Tamandua tetradactyla: one gene and its partner. The protein of the gene in region 1 purifies or fractionates together with the protein of each later gene. This does not show direct contact. Links are inferred from orthologs where the notes say so. Each region holds a gene or a part of one and is shown on either strand. Other genes may lie near its edges.

The links. Proteins that work in one complex are often made in the same cells at the same time.
Region 2: the proteins of RFC5 (region 1) and ATAD5 purify together in Homo sapiens (affinity purification with mass spectrometry; 4 studies listed by BioGRID and IntAct, counting the BioPlex papers as one, with this or other methods). This does not show direct contact. The link is inferred for Tamandua tetradactyla from reciprocal best matches to the Homo sapiens genes RFC5 and ATAD5.

What each region holds. Positions count from the first base shown.
Region 1 is NC_135331.1:18,313,107-18,320,682, forward strand, and holds the start of RFC5 (replication factor C subunit 5), read left to right. Parts: upstream 1-4,561; 5' UTR 4,562-4,704; coding exon 4,705-4,766; intron 4,767-5,687; exon of another isoform or gene 5,688-6,344; intron 6,345-6,416; exon of another isoform or gene 6,417-6,519; intron 6,520-7,434; coding exon 7,435-7,499; intron 7,500-7,576. UniProt on the Homo sapiens protein: Subunit of the replication factor C (RFC) complex which acts during elongation of primed DNA templates by DNA polymerases delta and epsilon, and is necessary for ATP-dependent loading of proliferating cell nuclear antigen (PCNA) onto primed DNA.
Region 2 is NC_135332.1:50,843,329-50,850,739, reverse strand, and holds the start of ATAD5 (ATPase family AAA domain-containing protein 5), read right to left. Parts: upstream 3,012-7,411; 5' UTR 2,628-3,011; coding exon 2,562-2,627; intron 1-2,561. UniProt on the Homo sapiens protein: Has an important role in DNA replication and in maintaining genome integrity during replication stress.

The DNA of each region.
Region 1 (7,576 bases):
ACTTCCCAGGCCTCCTGAATAATCCTAGAGAAGGGAAGAAGCCTAACCCCTAAAACCCAAGAGACTGAATTTCCAAAGCACTTTGGCTGAGGGAGCATTGGCAGAAGACCTTGAACCAGAGCTATATAAATTAGGGAAATGAAGAAATGTGAATTTTCTTGAACCCAGGTGGTCATGGAGAAAATGCATGCAAGTCATACTTTCAATTTCAGATGTAGAATCAGATTCAGGAACCGATAAATAAATATGCATTAGTTATTCAATCAACAAATGTTTAGGGTATGGTGAACTAGGGTCCTTACGGACTGATGGGGGGAATTCTTGGGCTTCTGACAAGGGAAAGTAGTTGAGGGGACCAGTGCCTCCAAGACCCAAAAACTTAAAGCCCCAATCAATCCACGAGATTGTGGATGTCACCAAAGAAGAAGGACCTTCTGTCCCTTGTATTACTCTTCCAATTGTCCTCTGAGACTTATTCCTCCTTCAAGTTGTTGCTCTTCATTTAAACATGATTTCACCAGGAGAAGGACCCAGTTTGATTTTCTTCTGCCAGCATCTTCCAAAGATAGCCTCACATCCCATTCCCTCCTATGAACAAGTCTTAAAAATAAACGAAGGCAGTTAAGTGCTGTGTCCAAAGCCAAGTTTGTTCCAAACTGAGAGTAATAAAATCCAGGGCTCCCCTTTCCTAATCCAATTTCAAGTGCAAATACTTCTCGTTGGTAATTTTGTTTGTAATGTCTGATCCTGCCATCTCCAGGACTTGATCCTTTATTTAAAGCATTTTGAAATCTGGTTTCAATGATATAATAAGTTTGAGCCTGTGCTCATTAACGTCACGACTCACATGAAGATACCGGCTCTTTAATCTTCCAGAAGGACTAAAAATCAGACAGGTGAAGGTAAGAAGAAATACATGTTTTGCCTGCCTATTTGCCCTTGAAATCAAAAGTCACAAACCTGTACAGTGTTTTTGCTTGGCTAGCAGTGTTTTTTTTTTTTTTCTAATTAGCTGCCAACATTTAAAATGCAGGTATTTTATACAAAAATCCAAAGTTCTGGTTTCTCTTGAAAAAAATCAGAACTGGCAATTTTTGGCTGCTGTCCCTTTTGGCTGAATTCTTGCATAATGGATGCTAATGATACTTTTGGCTTCCAGCATCTGAACCCCTCCCCTATGTTTTGGGGTGTCCCCATGTTGTGGTCATGGTGCGAGGCAGATGTCATTTCCCACCGTTGAAACTTATAAACCTGGGACTCACAAGCTTGAGTCACAGGCTTGGCCAATTAGGCATGTGCCCCTAGGCTTTTAGATGGAGAGCTAGTTTTAGGAAGAACCCGGGACAGAAAAGAACTGGAGAATTCTTTCTGGCAGTGGAAGTGATGAAAGTGAGATCCAATTTCTGGAGGTGGGTGGGGGCGTGGGAAGCGACAGGGTCCAGAGACCGCAGCAGCAGTCTCCTTTCTAGATTGGTTCCGTGGAGTAATTTTGACCATGGTTTCGGTTGCATGGCCTGTCTTTGTCCCTGCCCATTTTCCAAGCGAAGTTCCCCAGCCTTGCTTGAGAGTCTGCAAGCTATCCAATATCTTGATGCTCAAATTCCTGTTCTGCTGAAGCCGTCCTTCCACAAATTCTGTCCCTTGAGGCAGAGCAGATTTTCCTCCCGAACTTCTTTCTTTTTGTATTAACTTCCAGGCATTTGGGTCTGTAACTCTGGTCTGTATTGCTCCCTTTTCCTTTAAAGTGATAACATTTTGGTATTGGGAAAGAACCCAAAGATCATCCAGGGATAACATCAGCAAATTTTTTCTTAGTAATGAGAAAAAAATCTTCCAGAAACACCCGCTGACTTCCCCTCACTCTCACTGGGCAGAACTGGGTCATGTGTTTACATGAAGGCAATCAGTGGCAAGGGTAGTAAGTTTGCCATAATAGGCTTTTTCAGTGTTTGTTGAATTTTGGCCTGAATGTTAGAATCACCTGGGAGCGTTTTTAAAATGCCAATGCCTGGTCCTGTCCTGAGGCCAGATTTAATTGGTCTGATGTGGAGTTCTGGCATTGGCATTTTTGGTGATTTTAATGTCCTGCCAGGGCTGAGTCACTGATCTAGTTTACTCTTTACTCTCTGCCCACTTTACAGGTGCAAATACTGAGGTCCAAAGAGCTATGAAGTAATTTTCCCAAAGGACTATACCTTTACTCAATAGCAAAAACAGGAACAAGCAAAGACCCCCCCCCCCCTACAAATGGCATTTATTAGTATAGCTTTGCTTTTCCAGAGTACTCACGTGGCTGCCCATTCTTTTTCTTAGAAAGTGAAGTCATGTAGAGCTCAAGGACTGAGAAGCAATAGTGAAGTGGTTTTCAAACTTGAGTGCCTCAGAATACCCTGAGGGTTTGTTACAACACAGATGGCTGGGCCCAGCCCTCAGAGCTTCTGATTCAGTGGGTTTGGGGGAGAGGAGGGATAATTAGCATTTCTAACAAGTTCTGCTGGGATGCTAATATAGTGGGACTGAGGACCACACTTTGAGAACCACTAATGTAGTTCCATAGTTTGGGCTATGGAATCTGATTGTCCTGTTAACATCCAGTTTTGCCCCTTTTGTGAGCTTAGAATTTGAGCAAGATACTTTATATATTTATGAAATGAGGCCAATGATAGTAACTTGTGCTTGTTCAAGGATTGAGTGAATATAATAAATACAACACACTTGGAGCCATGTCTGGGCCATGGTAATTACTCAATGAATATTAGTTATTATCATTCATTCATTCATTCATTGAACAATGAATGATGCTTCCTTTGAGCCAGGCACTGTTCAGGTACCAGGAGTATAGTGCTGAATAAGTCAAATGCCCCGCTTTCAAAGAGTTTACAATCCACTAGGGAGCTACAGAATAGAGGACTTCGTAAATATGTGATATAACATCACCCAGAAGAATCCTGCATCCCAAGCAAACTGAACAACAGGTGCACACAGACTCCAAACTGCTTGTCTCCAGAAGCCTTGTCTCACCCCCAACAGAATTTACAGAGGATGAACTTCCAGAAAACAACCCCAGGGTGAAAACGAGACAGGGCCCTTGTGATCCGAAGATACTGAAGAAAATCGATATCAAAATGTTGGTGCTTTTTCTTTAACGTGAGGGCATAATGAATCACTTTTTTTCTTTTCTTTCTTTCTTTTTTTTTTTGTTGGCTTGCACTTCCCAGCAATCTTGTTCCAATCTTGTTTGCACCTTCCAGCTCAAGGATGTGGTGGCTTCATGTTTCTAATGCAAAGGCCTCTCAGCAGCTGGCCAGTTGTAACATTGTCATGCCATCCAATCCTTTAGATTTGGGAGGGAGGGGTCTTTGAAACAAGAGCAGGATGAGCGGAAAGTGTGTTAGAAAGGAAGGAGACTGAGATGGCACTGTGTGGGCTATGCCGGCTGCTTTAGGTGTTATTTCATCTAATCCTCAGAACCACCTTGGAGAAGGCATTCTTGGAGAGAAGCAACCTGGCCAAGACTAAGCGGAAAAGATGGCATGCAAACGATCCCAGCTGCCCTTGTTAAAGTTGCCTTTGAGAGGAAGCAGGGGATCGGGGCACTGTCATACCACAAGCTACATCTGAAGCTACTTCTGGGTCCCCAGGTAAGAGCCAGGATAAAGGTATACCTGCTACCTTATATTTGCCCACTGCCCCTCTATCCTGTTCTAAAGCAGGTGGCAGTGATGTAATCAGGTGCAAAGAATGCAGTTAAGTCTCCATCAGAACTCTACTGACACCAGGACCAGCCTCATCTCCTCCCAGTAAATCCTGCCTTTCTGCACATATTGTTAAAAAAGAACAAAACAACTTTATTACAGATGTAATACATGCTCGCTGCTGGGAAATGCAAGCCAACAAAAAAAAAAAAAGAAAGAAAAAGAAAAAAATGATTCATTATCCCCTCAGGTTAAAGAAAAAGCACCAACATTTTGATATCGATTTTCTTCAGTATCTTCAGATCACTAGGGCCCTGTCTCGTTTTCACCCTGGGGTTGTTTTCTGGAAGTTCATCCTCTGTAAATTCTGTTGGGGGTGAGACAAGGCTTCGGGAGACAGGCAGTTTGGAGTTGTGTTTGTTTGGGGTTGATTTTCAACTTCAAGTTGAACCTCCCAACCATGGGAGCAAAAGGTACTGGGAGCCTTTTTATAGATGGGCATCTGTATTCAAGAACTGGCCGCATCACTTGAGTTGTTTTTTCCTCCGGAATTTTTAGCCCCGGCAGCTTTCGGTTCTTTGAACAGTAAGTGTTTGAACCTTGATGATGTGTCAGAGGATGGCTCAATTGGCCTTGACCGTGAGACCCTTACTTGAAATGATAATGACTGGCGGCTTCAGGGGACGGCCTCGCCTCTCCCGCTCCTTCTGTCTGGGTTCAGAAGCTGCTTGCCATGGAGAGAGCACAGCGCGGGCTCCAAGGGCGGAGCTGGAGGGAGGCAGGCGGCCTGCGCCCCCTGGTAACCAGGCAACCCGCTCCTTAGCAACGGAAGGGGCGGGACCGAAGGAGGAAGTCGGAAGCCGGAAAGCAAGTCTCGCGAGAGTTGCTTTTGCGCGCGAACTCTTAAGTGCTGGGGTCCCAGGGTCTGATTGCGCAGGGGAGCTGTGCAATCGTTTGGGGGTGATCGACGACCGCCGCGGACCGTGTCACTGCACCACCCCACTCCACCATGGAGACCTCAGCGTTCAAGCAGCAGCAGCCTGCGGCGAACAAGAGCAGAAACCTACCTTGGTAGGAGGAGGCCTGCGGTCGCAGTGGGAGATAAATCAGTGGCACCGGGAGGGGATGGTGGGGGTAGAAAGTGGCAGGGCCCGGGCCCACCTCACCCCTCCTGCGCACCTGCGGCCGGGGCGGAACTCACACAGGTTTGCCTTGACATCCCCCAATTCTCCAATCCCTCTCCATTCTGTTCAGGACCTTAAAATTTTGCCAGGTCTCCCCTCACCCTCAGTTTCCTTGCCGAAGAGGAACGCTGTTTTTGCACCTGGTGACAGCACAGGGACTCGATCCCACGTCTTCTGACTCCCTTCATTGGTTTCCATGCCCAGTTACCCTCATCTCTTTCGACAGCCAAAATCTTCAAAACCGTTATTGGTCAAATCCTAAGCTAAGCTAAACAATAAAGTACCAACGCCTTTTAGTTACCATTTATAAAACGGCTGCGACACACAGCCAATTCGAGGTTTGGCGTGCGTTAAATCTTGTGATCCTTACAACCTCTTAGGACGTAGGTACTGTTATTATTCCCATATTACAGATGAAGCAACTACCTTAAAAAGGTTAAATGACTTCCCTGAGGTCCTAAAGGCAGAAAATAGGCTTGGATTTGAACCCAAGCGGTCTGAATTCAGAGCCTGCATTCTTAACCATCCTACTTCCACATCCATATGCTTAGTGATGCTTTGGTTGTATTTGGCCAGATTTTGGAAACTCCAAATTGTTTTGGTATAATGACTGCATTTCCCTTTCCATCCTACGCAATCCCCCAAATAAAGCACTGTTTTTATTTATAGAGTCCTGATCACTTCAGGGGTAGGAGTGGAGAGGTTCCTTTTTCAATACAGAGGCCTCCCTAATATTGGTTTGTTTTTACCAAACGCATAGGCAAGTGGCTTCATGGATTCAGAAAACAAATTACAGTACTTAGTTTCTTTAGTCCCACTCTGCTAGAGCGGCAAGGTGAGCATCAGTTTTTGCTTCTGGAAGAATCCTGAATTTGGGATTTTCAACTGTAACAACTCCAACTTCTATTTCTGAGGGTTTGGAATCAATTGATAGAACAGGAGACCGGTGTGTAATTGCAGTTTCAACTGTCTGTTCAAATGTCCAATCAGATTTCTTCTTTACTTTTTTTTTTTTCAAGGAAGCTGGTTGACTTGGTTTGTTTAATTCCTGCTGCAGTGGCTTTAAACCACAGTAGTAACCTGCAGGATCACAGGTGCACACCTAAGGGCCTGGCTCTTCCTCTATACCAATTAAAATCATGCAACATCCAAGAGGCCTCATTTCAGCGTTCTCTGTAGACCTGAGCAATATCTCCAGTTCATTTACACAACATGTCCACAGGAATCTCATAGCTATACTTGCGTTTCTATACCTCATAGCAGCCTCCCTCCCTGGGATCTAATGTCAGCTGTCATTCTTGTTATCATACAGCCAATGTTTTGGGTTATCTTGAATAAGTGAGTCACCGTGCTGAAATCCAATAATTTGTCAGATACTTTGTTCTTTGTGACAAGTACTGCACAGTCTTTCCCTCTGACATGTATGATGTAAGGCCACCTTGGTTAATAGCCTTAAAAGCATATTCTGGGGTACACAGGTGGTTCGGTGGTAGAATGCTCGCTTTCCATGCTGGAAATCCGGGTTCAGTTACCGGACCATGCGCCTGAAAAAAAAAAGCATATTCTGCTTGGTGGAGGCGGCCCTCAGGTGAAAAAACAATAATGTGGCAGTCAAAACTTGTGCTGGAACCATGGGACATGTTGGTGTGCCCACTGCTTCAAACATAGCTTCTGGGCCCCGAGCTCTCACACAAGGCTACCTAAAGAGTGCATTTTTTTAAAATTGTGGTAAAAAAAAACCGCATAATGTAAAATTTACCATTGTAACTATCTTAAAAGTATGCAATTCAGTGGCATTAAGCACATTCACCACTATCTAGTTCCTGAGTTTTTTCATCATTCCAAATGAAAACCCCAAACTGTTAATCAGTCATTCTCATCCTCCTTCCCCTCAGTCCCTGGCAACTACTGATCTGCTTTCTGTCTGTATGGATTTGCCTATTTTGGAGATTTCGTGTAAATGGAATCAGACAATGTGTGGTCTTTTGTATCTGGCTTCTTTCACTTAGCATTGATGATTTCAGGGTTTATCCATGTTGTAGCTTCCATTGTACTTCATTCCTTTTTATAGCTGAATAATATTCCCAAGTCTGGAGACACCACCTTTTGTTTATCCATTCATCTGTTGATGGAATTGGGGTAGGAGTTCAATTTTGAGTTCACTTTAAAATAGTCAGTGCAGGTTGAGATTATAGGCAGATAGGTAGAAAGGTAGAATTAGAACAAGATTCCTCAACTTCAGCACTTTTACATTTTGAGCCAAATACTTTGTGTTGGGGGTGGTGGTGAGGTGCTCTATAATCATTTGTATCGTAGGATGTTTAGCAGCCTCCCTGTATGCCAGTAGCCAGTTGTGACAACCAAGAATGTCTCCAAACATTGCCAAAAATTCCCTGCGGGACAAAAGCACCCCTGGTTGAAAACCACTGGACTGTATTAAAATTTAGTGGGTTGCTGTTTCTCTTTTTTTAATTAGGGTATGAAAGGATTCTTTTGCAAACACAAAACGTGCTTGCATTCATATATGTTGTAATTCATACTAAATTGTGTTTCAGGGTTGAAAAATACCGGCCACAGACACTGAATGATCTCATTTCTCATCAGGACATTTTGAGTACCAGTAAGTATCCGTATATCAGTTCCTGTTATCCTAGTCGAACAAACTATATAAATTTCTTGGTGCTGTCATCTCTGCTG
Region 2 (7,411 bases), on another chromosome or scaffold:
ACCTATATTTAAATTCCAGTGCCCAATGAGTTGTACGCTTATAATTTATAAGTGTATTTTTCATTATATAAAATGTTCACACTAAAAAAAAAAATTCCAAGGTCACTGTATTTATGAGTAAATGTATCAATCTCTCACAGCTTCTGTTTACTCTATGAACCATGAATAGCATCACCAATTTTACAGAACTTAAAATGAATGTATTAGATAAAATATGTCAAGTCTGACACATGATAGGGACAATACAAATGTTTGTTCCATCCCTTTTTAACTTTTATCTAGGTAAGTTTTAGTTAAACACATTATCCTGGCTGTACTTAAAAAAAAAAAAAAAAAACAAGAACATGATGAACAAGCCCAGGATCCCACAATATTTACTAATCAAACAGAAAATATAGTAACATCACCAGAAGAACACTTACTACAAGTCTGTTATTTTAATTTGCTATTAAAACAACCACTATCTTCCTTCTACATTAGTGATTACACTCACAGCATAAAGATTACTATAATGTTAGACATGACTATCTTTTTTGTTGATCATAAGTTAGTAATCTATATATATATTTCTATATATTATAAACAAATTTTATTATGATAGAAAATAGATATCAACTTATTGGGTACAAAAAGTTCCATTGGTTTTTTCTTTAATTCTCTCTTCTCTGTTTGTTAGAATAAACTTATCAAAATAACAAGGAAATTCTTAAGAGGTAATGAATAGGAGAATTATACTTCTGGAAACTTAATTGTATTATACAGCTATCAAGATTAAAAGTGTAGTGCTGATACAGGCAGATATTTTAATGGAATGGGTTAAAAAACTCAGAAACCGTATAATATATTTGCTATATATAAAATAAAGTAAATATTTAAGACCTTAATATATGATACTAATAGCAATCAAGTTAGTGGAAAAAGACACAGTTAATAGTATTGGGACAAATTTCTAACCTGAAACAAAATAAGATCAGACAAACTAAAACCGTATTTGTTACAATGAAATCATAAATACACTAGAAGAAAATACTGATGAGTATAGATACAATCCTGAGACAATATTAGAGGCACTATACTACAGCCTGTGGGGTCAGATCTACCAGCTGTCAGCTCTGACATCTACTGGGTGTGACCTTAATCAAATTAAACCTGCTGTTTTTAAAGAGTTTTTCCTTTCCTTCCCTTAAACTTCTTTATTTTGAAATAATTTCAAACTTATAGGACAGGTGCAAAAATAATACAAAACCAATAAGAGAACTCCAACATACCCCCACCCTTCAAGATACCCAGATCCACCATTATTAACACTGTACCAAATTAAACTTTTTAACCTTCTTCTCCTTTGTGGACTCCATCACAGGGTTGATATTAAGCAATATTAAGCAATAATATTTATAAAGCCCTTACCCTTACCATACAAAAGTAAGTGTCATTATAATTATACAAGCTCTCTAAGCAGGCTACCAAAAGCAGAAAACATAAGGAAAAGATTGATAAAACTGACCACACACAAATCAAAAACTGTGTAATTCAACTACCAAAAGACCATCACAAAACCTGAGACCAGCTGAGAACTGCCTTGATTTAGCTAATTAGTAGCTAGTATCAGCATAACTATTTTCAAGCATACAAAAGTCACTCAACTCCAAAAAATAATAATAATTAAATAAAAACAAAAAGAGGGGGAAAAAGGGCACCCAACTCCGAGAAAAAAGAAATGGTCGCGGTTAAAAGTGTATACATTTTAGGGCGGGCCACCGTGGCTCAGCAGGCAGTTCTTGCCAGCCAAGCCGGAGACCGGGGCTCGATTCCCGGTTACTACCCATGCAAAAAAAAAAAAAAAAAAAAAAAAAGCCTAAAAAAAAGTGCATACATCTCGGCTCACTTAGAGGACACCAGGACACATATTTCAGTTAGAATGCTAACCTGAGATGAAAAGACGTAAAAATATAGCAACTGTTTACCTTAAGATGCTAGCCCACTACTTAAGCGGCACTAGACTCTCTTTATAATGAATGCTTAGTGCACTTCACTAAAACTTGACAAAATCATGAAATGTCAGTATGCCACACTGAATTTCTAATTGTAGCATAAGAACTAGGGCCAGGAGAAACTGATTTTTTTATTAAGCACCTTGTTTAATTCCAGTACTGACACTAAGTGGCATTCCTAAAATAGACAGAAGGATAGGCTAGGTGAACTTTAAAATCCTTTTCATCGCTAAAGTCCTATGGCTCTATATCATGAAACCAGAACCTGTCTCTCGGCTACCCCATGACATGTCACAAGTCCAAAACATCATGTTCCACGAACATGTCAGGCTCTGGTAACTGGCCGAATCATCATTCTAAATCCAGATTTACCGTGACCCCCCAAACATCGCACAACCGCAATGTTTGTCAAGACAACTCTAAAAAGAGACACAGTCTAGGCACAAGATCATAACTTGGGGGTCTCACCATGTCCTTCCCTTCCGCCTCAGAGTTGCAAAGTCGGGATCACCTTCCACCCACCCAACCCCAACAGCCGGAGAAAGGAACTCGACAGACACTCGACCGCACCTCAATCTCGTAGTCCTTCACTGGAGGGGGAGCAGCCGCCGCCGCCATGGCAAGGACCCCTACCATGCTCCCTGCTTCCCAGTATCCCGGTTCCTAGGAGCATTCGCGAACCGGACTGGCCTGCCTGGAGGCCATGGGGGCGGCCTGCTCCAGGAGGAGAGCCGAGCTGGGTCTCCCGGTCCGTCTCGGATTTCCCTGCGCCCACCCGCCGAAGAGCGCGCGGAGCCCGGGCCGAGCTTGGCCGAGTCGAACGCGGGAAGAGGGGAAGAAAAGGCGCGGACGGCGAGACCCCTGGGGCGCGGCCAGTGAGCGCCGAGTGCCTCCTAGGCGGGCGCTCTAGGGTGAGTCTTCAAGGCTAGAAGGGTCCGGGCGGGGAAAGCTGACCGAACGCAGATCAGTCCTGAAAGGTTTAGCAGGAGTTCTAGTCAATTGGGTTTTCGCGCCGTCCGGCGCGCGGGGGGCGGAGCTTAGTGTTGCTTCCCGAGATCTGAACGGACGGTGAGCCAAAGGAGCCAAAATGCTTCTCTTGGCGAACTGGCCCGAAGCAGGATCTTAGTACCGAGGAATTTAATGTCAACCGGAATTTTAAAGATTCGAATTTCTCGTGACTTAAAGTCCAATTTCACATGTAAGGACTTGATTTGACTTGGATCACCTAGTCGGCGATAAAACTAAAACCCTAGACTCTTGACGCTCCAGGCCGGATCCTTTTTTAAAGTGGAAATTTTGTTAAAGAAGTAACAATTACTATATTCCTATCACCCAGTATATGTTAATTATTTGGCGTGAGTCATACCTCGAGATAAGCCCATTTGGGGTCCGAGATTTTGGCTTTACGTTTATACCCCGAATTTGGCTAAGAAGACTTGTTTTCCCTGTGGATTTCGTCCTCTGAGCAGTGTAGGAGTCCAAGCAGGATACCAGTGTTTTGCTGTTAGTAGTAATGATAACCTTGTTTTCATTTCCATTGTTTTTATGGATTTGTTTAGTCTTTTTTTCTTTTACGTGAAAGTTGCAATTACATAAACATAATGAATGTTTGTTGGAAAGCATAAGTTTTTAACTGACGGGTATGTAAAAACTGAATCAAGTGTGTAGGAGCCGACAGAGAGAAAGGACATAATCAAGTAATGATGGGAAGCCACCTGTTCCAGTGTTATGCAAAGTGTTTTTAACTACTGAAGTATTTGTGACCATCTTTTAGGGTCTTTGTTGCTGTCTTATCAGAAGTGGGAGGTAATTTGTGTGGTAAGAGCACATACAAATGTTTCCCTAATGAAATTAATGGTAATTACGTTTTCTTTGAAAATTAGCTCTGAATAAGATTTTTCAGGAGGAGAAACACTACTGCTTTAATGCTCTGTTCTGTTTCTTTAATGTTTTGCTTAATGTTAATGTTTTAAAAATAATGTTTAATGTTTAATGTACTGTTCTGTTCCCTTGTTATATATGTTTTATAACTCAGGGAGTATATGAACATTGTCCCAAAAAAGAACAAGAAAAATAAATGAGAAAATTACAGGAAAAAAACCTAAAAATTTCCTTTGACTTTTACCCCTGAACTTGATCTTCTCCCTTTCTCCCAGAGGTGGCCACTATTATTTATTTGGTGTGTACTGCTGCAATCTTTTTCATAGCTTTCCATACACATATGTATCCATAGGAAATCTTTACTTTTGTTTTTATGTACAAAAAAATTATAAATAAATGGTGTCACTGTAGATATCACTCATTTGCTTGTTTTTTTTACTCAACATTGTTTTCAAGAGCTGTTCATGATTCATGTAGACCTTGTGCTGGTTTGAACGGAAGTATGCCCCCTAGAAAAGCCATATTTTAATCAAAATCCCATTTCATAAAGGTAGAATAATCCCTATTTGGTACTGTATGTTTGAATCTGTAATCAGATCATCTCCCTGGATGATGTGATTTAGTCAAGAGTGTTTGTTAAACTGGATTAGGTGACAACATGTCTCCACCCATTTGGGTAGGTCTTGATTGGTTTGCTGGAGTCCTATAAAAGAGGAAACATTTTGGAGAATGGAGATTCAGAGAGAGCAGAGAATGCTGCAGCACCACAAAGCAGAGTCCACAAGCCAGCGACCTTTGGAGATGAAGAAGGACAACGCCTCCCGGGGAGCTTCAAGGGATACAGACTGTGCAACAGGACTAGATACAAAAATGCAAAAATGTACAGCACAATACTACCTAATTGTAATGTAATTATGTTAAAATACTGAATGAAGCTGCATCTGAGCTATAGTTTTTTTTTGTTTGTTTTTTTATATATATTTTTTGTATTTTTTATTTTTATTTTTTCTCTATATTATCATTTTATTTCTTTTTCTGTTGTCTTGCTATTTCTTTTTCTAAATCGATGCAAATGTACTAAGAAATGATGATCATACATCTATGTGATGATATTAAGAATTACTGATTGCATATGTAGAATGGAATGATTTCTAAATGTTGTTAGTTAATTTTTTTAATTAATAAATAAATGAATAAATAAATAAATAAATGAAAAAGAAACCCGAAGCCAGGAGAGAAAGCTAGCAGATGATGCCATGTTCACCATGTGCCCTTCCAGCCTAGAGAGAAGCCCTGACTGTGCTCACCATGTGCCCTTCCACTTGAGAGAGAAACCCTGAACTTCATCGGCCTTCTTGAACCAAGGTATCTTTTCCTGGATGCCTTAGATTGGACACTTCTATAGAGTTGTTTTAATTGGTACATTTTCTCGGCCTTAGAACTTAAACAAGCAACTTATTAAATACCCCTTTTTAAAAGCCATTCCGTTTCTGGTATATTGTATTCTGGCAGCTAGCAAACTAGAACAAATCTCATCTATTCCCTTTCATTCCTGAGTTTTCTATCCAACTATGCACCACGTTTTAATTATGTATTTCCTTAGAGATGGACATTTGGGTTGTCTCTAATTTTCTGTTACTCAAGCAGTGAGTGAATGAATATTTTTGTCTAGGTCCCCTAAACACACGTGTAATGTCTCCCTAGGATAAACATCTCAAAGTAAGTTATAGGTTATGTCTATAGGCTTTTTATCCTTCTTGAATGTTATGCATTTGTACTGCCTTGAGTTGTTATCATATGCACTGAGTTTGTTTCTAGATATGTAATTAGTATTTTACACAACCCTCATTTAGGAACTCATGGTATTTATCAATTTTAAATTAAATGGGTTCCATGTTTGTATAGCAACTTAGAGTTTACAGTTTGTTCGTGTCATTTAGAGTATCTTTCCTATTTTTTTCATAAACCCTACTTTAATTATTTTTCATTTTTAACAAAGTAATGCCTACACTTTGTTAAAAACATCAAAGAACATTTTAAAAAACATAAAAATATAGCTATTTCACAACCTGGGTCTCTTTCCCATAGACAACCAATTTCAACACTTCACAATATAAATAACTTATTTTTTAATATATAATATGTTTGTACAGCTATTTCTTGATTTAACTACATTAAACATATTCATTAATTTCCTGTTGTGGTGACTGAGAATTAAATTCTCTTATACCACACCCTTCACACTTTCTCTCCTTCCCCCCTTCTATTATATTTATATGGCAATTTTTTACTAACTCAATCATCAATTTTGCATTTTGTGATGATGTAAATATTGTTTACAACTGATCCAAGTGATTTACTTTCGCCTCCAAGTTTTTTTCTTTTCCTGGAATTGATAAGTACCTCCTCTTTTTTTTTCTATTTTATTTTGTTTCTATATATCTATTACCTGCTGCCCAAGAGGAGAGTCAAAATAATCAATGAAAGGTAGGTCAAAATACCAAAGAATCAACAGATTCTGGCACTTAGGGCTAGAGGAGGGTCCAGAGGCCCCCTGCTTTGCCAGGCATTAATCCAATAGTTTTCTGGTCCTGGGGGTTGTGGGTCTGGGGAGTCTGCTGCCTCTTCACAGGGGCCTCCCAACTGTCAATATGAGGTGATCTTTCTCTGGGACCATTCAGTTTATCCTCCAGTTTCAAGAACTGTGGAAGAGTTGTATATCTTGCAGTTGGGTAGGGGCTATTTGAAGAGGTCACCTAACTGCATGTTATAGAACTCTGGAACTGGAAGATGTCACTCTGATTTTAACTAATACCCTCCTTTTTCAATCCCATACCTCAGTGTCACCATCTGTGGTAGTCCATCATTCCATAAATAGCGTGGAGTTCCTACTATATGCCAGGCACTGTTTAGACACCGGGAAGCAGCATGAACAAAACAGATAAAAATCCCTAACCTCTTGCAGTTTACATTCTGATTGAAGGGACATATAATAAAATTGATAAATAAGTAAAATATATGGTAGGATAGGTAAGGGTAAATGCTGAGGAGAAAATAGAGCAGGAAGTGGGATAAGGAAATGAATGCCAGGGGAAAGATTGCAATTTTAGAAGGTAGTCAGGCTATGCTTCAAATTAGGCCCAAGACTTACCCCCAAAGAACCTCTTTTGTGGCTCAGACGTGGCCTATCTCTCTCTCAGACAACACGGCAAGTAAACTCACCGCCCTCCCACTCTCTACGTGGGACATGATTCCCAGGGGTGTAAACCTCCCTGGCAATGAGGGACAGAAATCCTAGAATGATCTGGGACTCAACATCAAGGGGTTGAGAAAGTCCTCTTGACCGAAAAGAGGAAGAGAGAAATGAGATAAAATAAAGTGTCAGTGGCTGAAAGATTTCAGAGTCGAGAGGTTATCCTGGAGGTTATTCTTACACATTATATAGATATCCCCTTTTTAGATTAAAGTGTATTAGGCTAGGGGGAAGTGCCTGAAGCTGTAGAGCTGTGTTCCAGTAGCCATGTTTCTTTAAGATGATA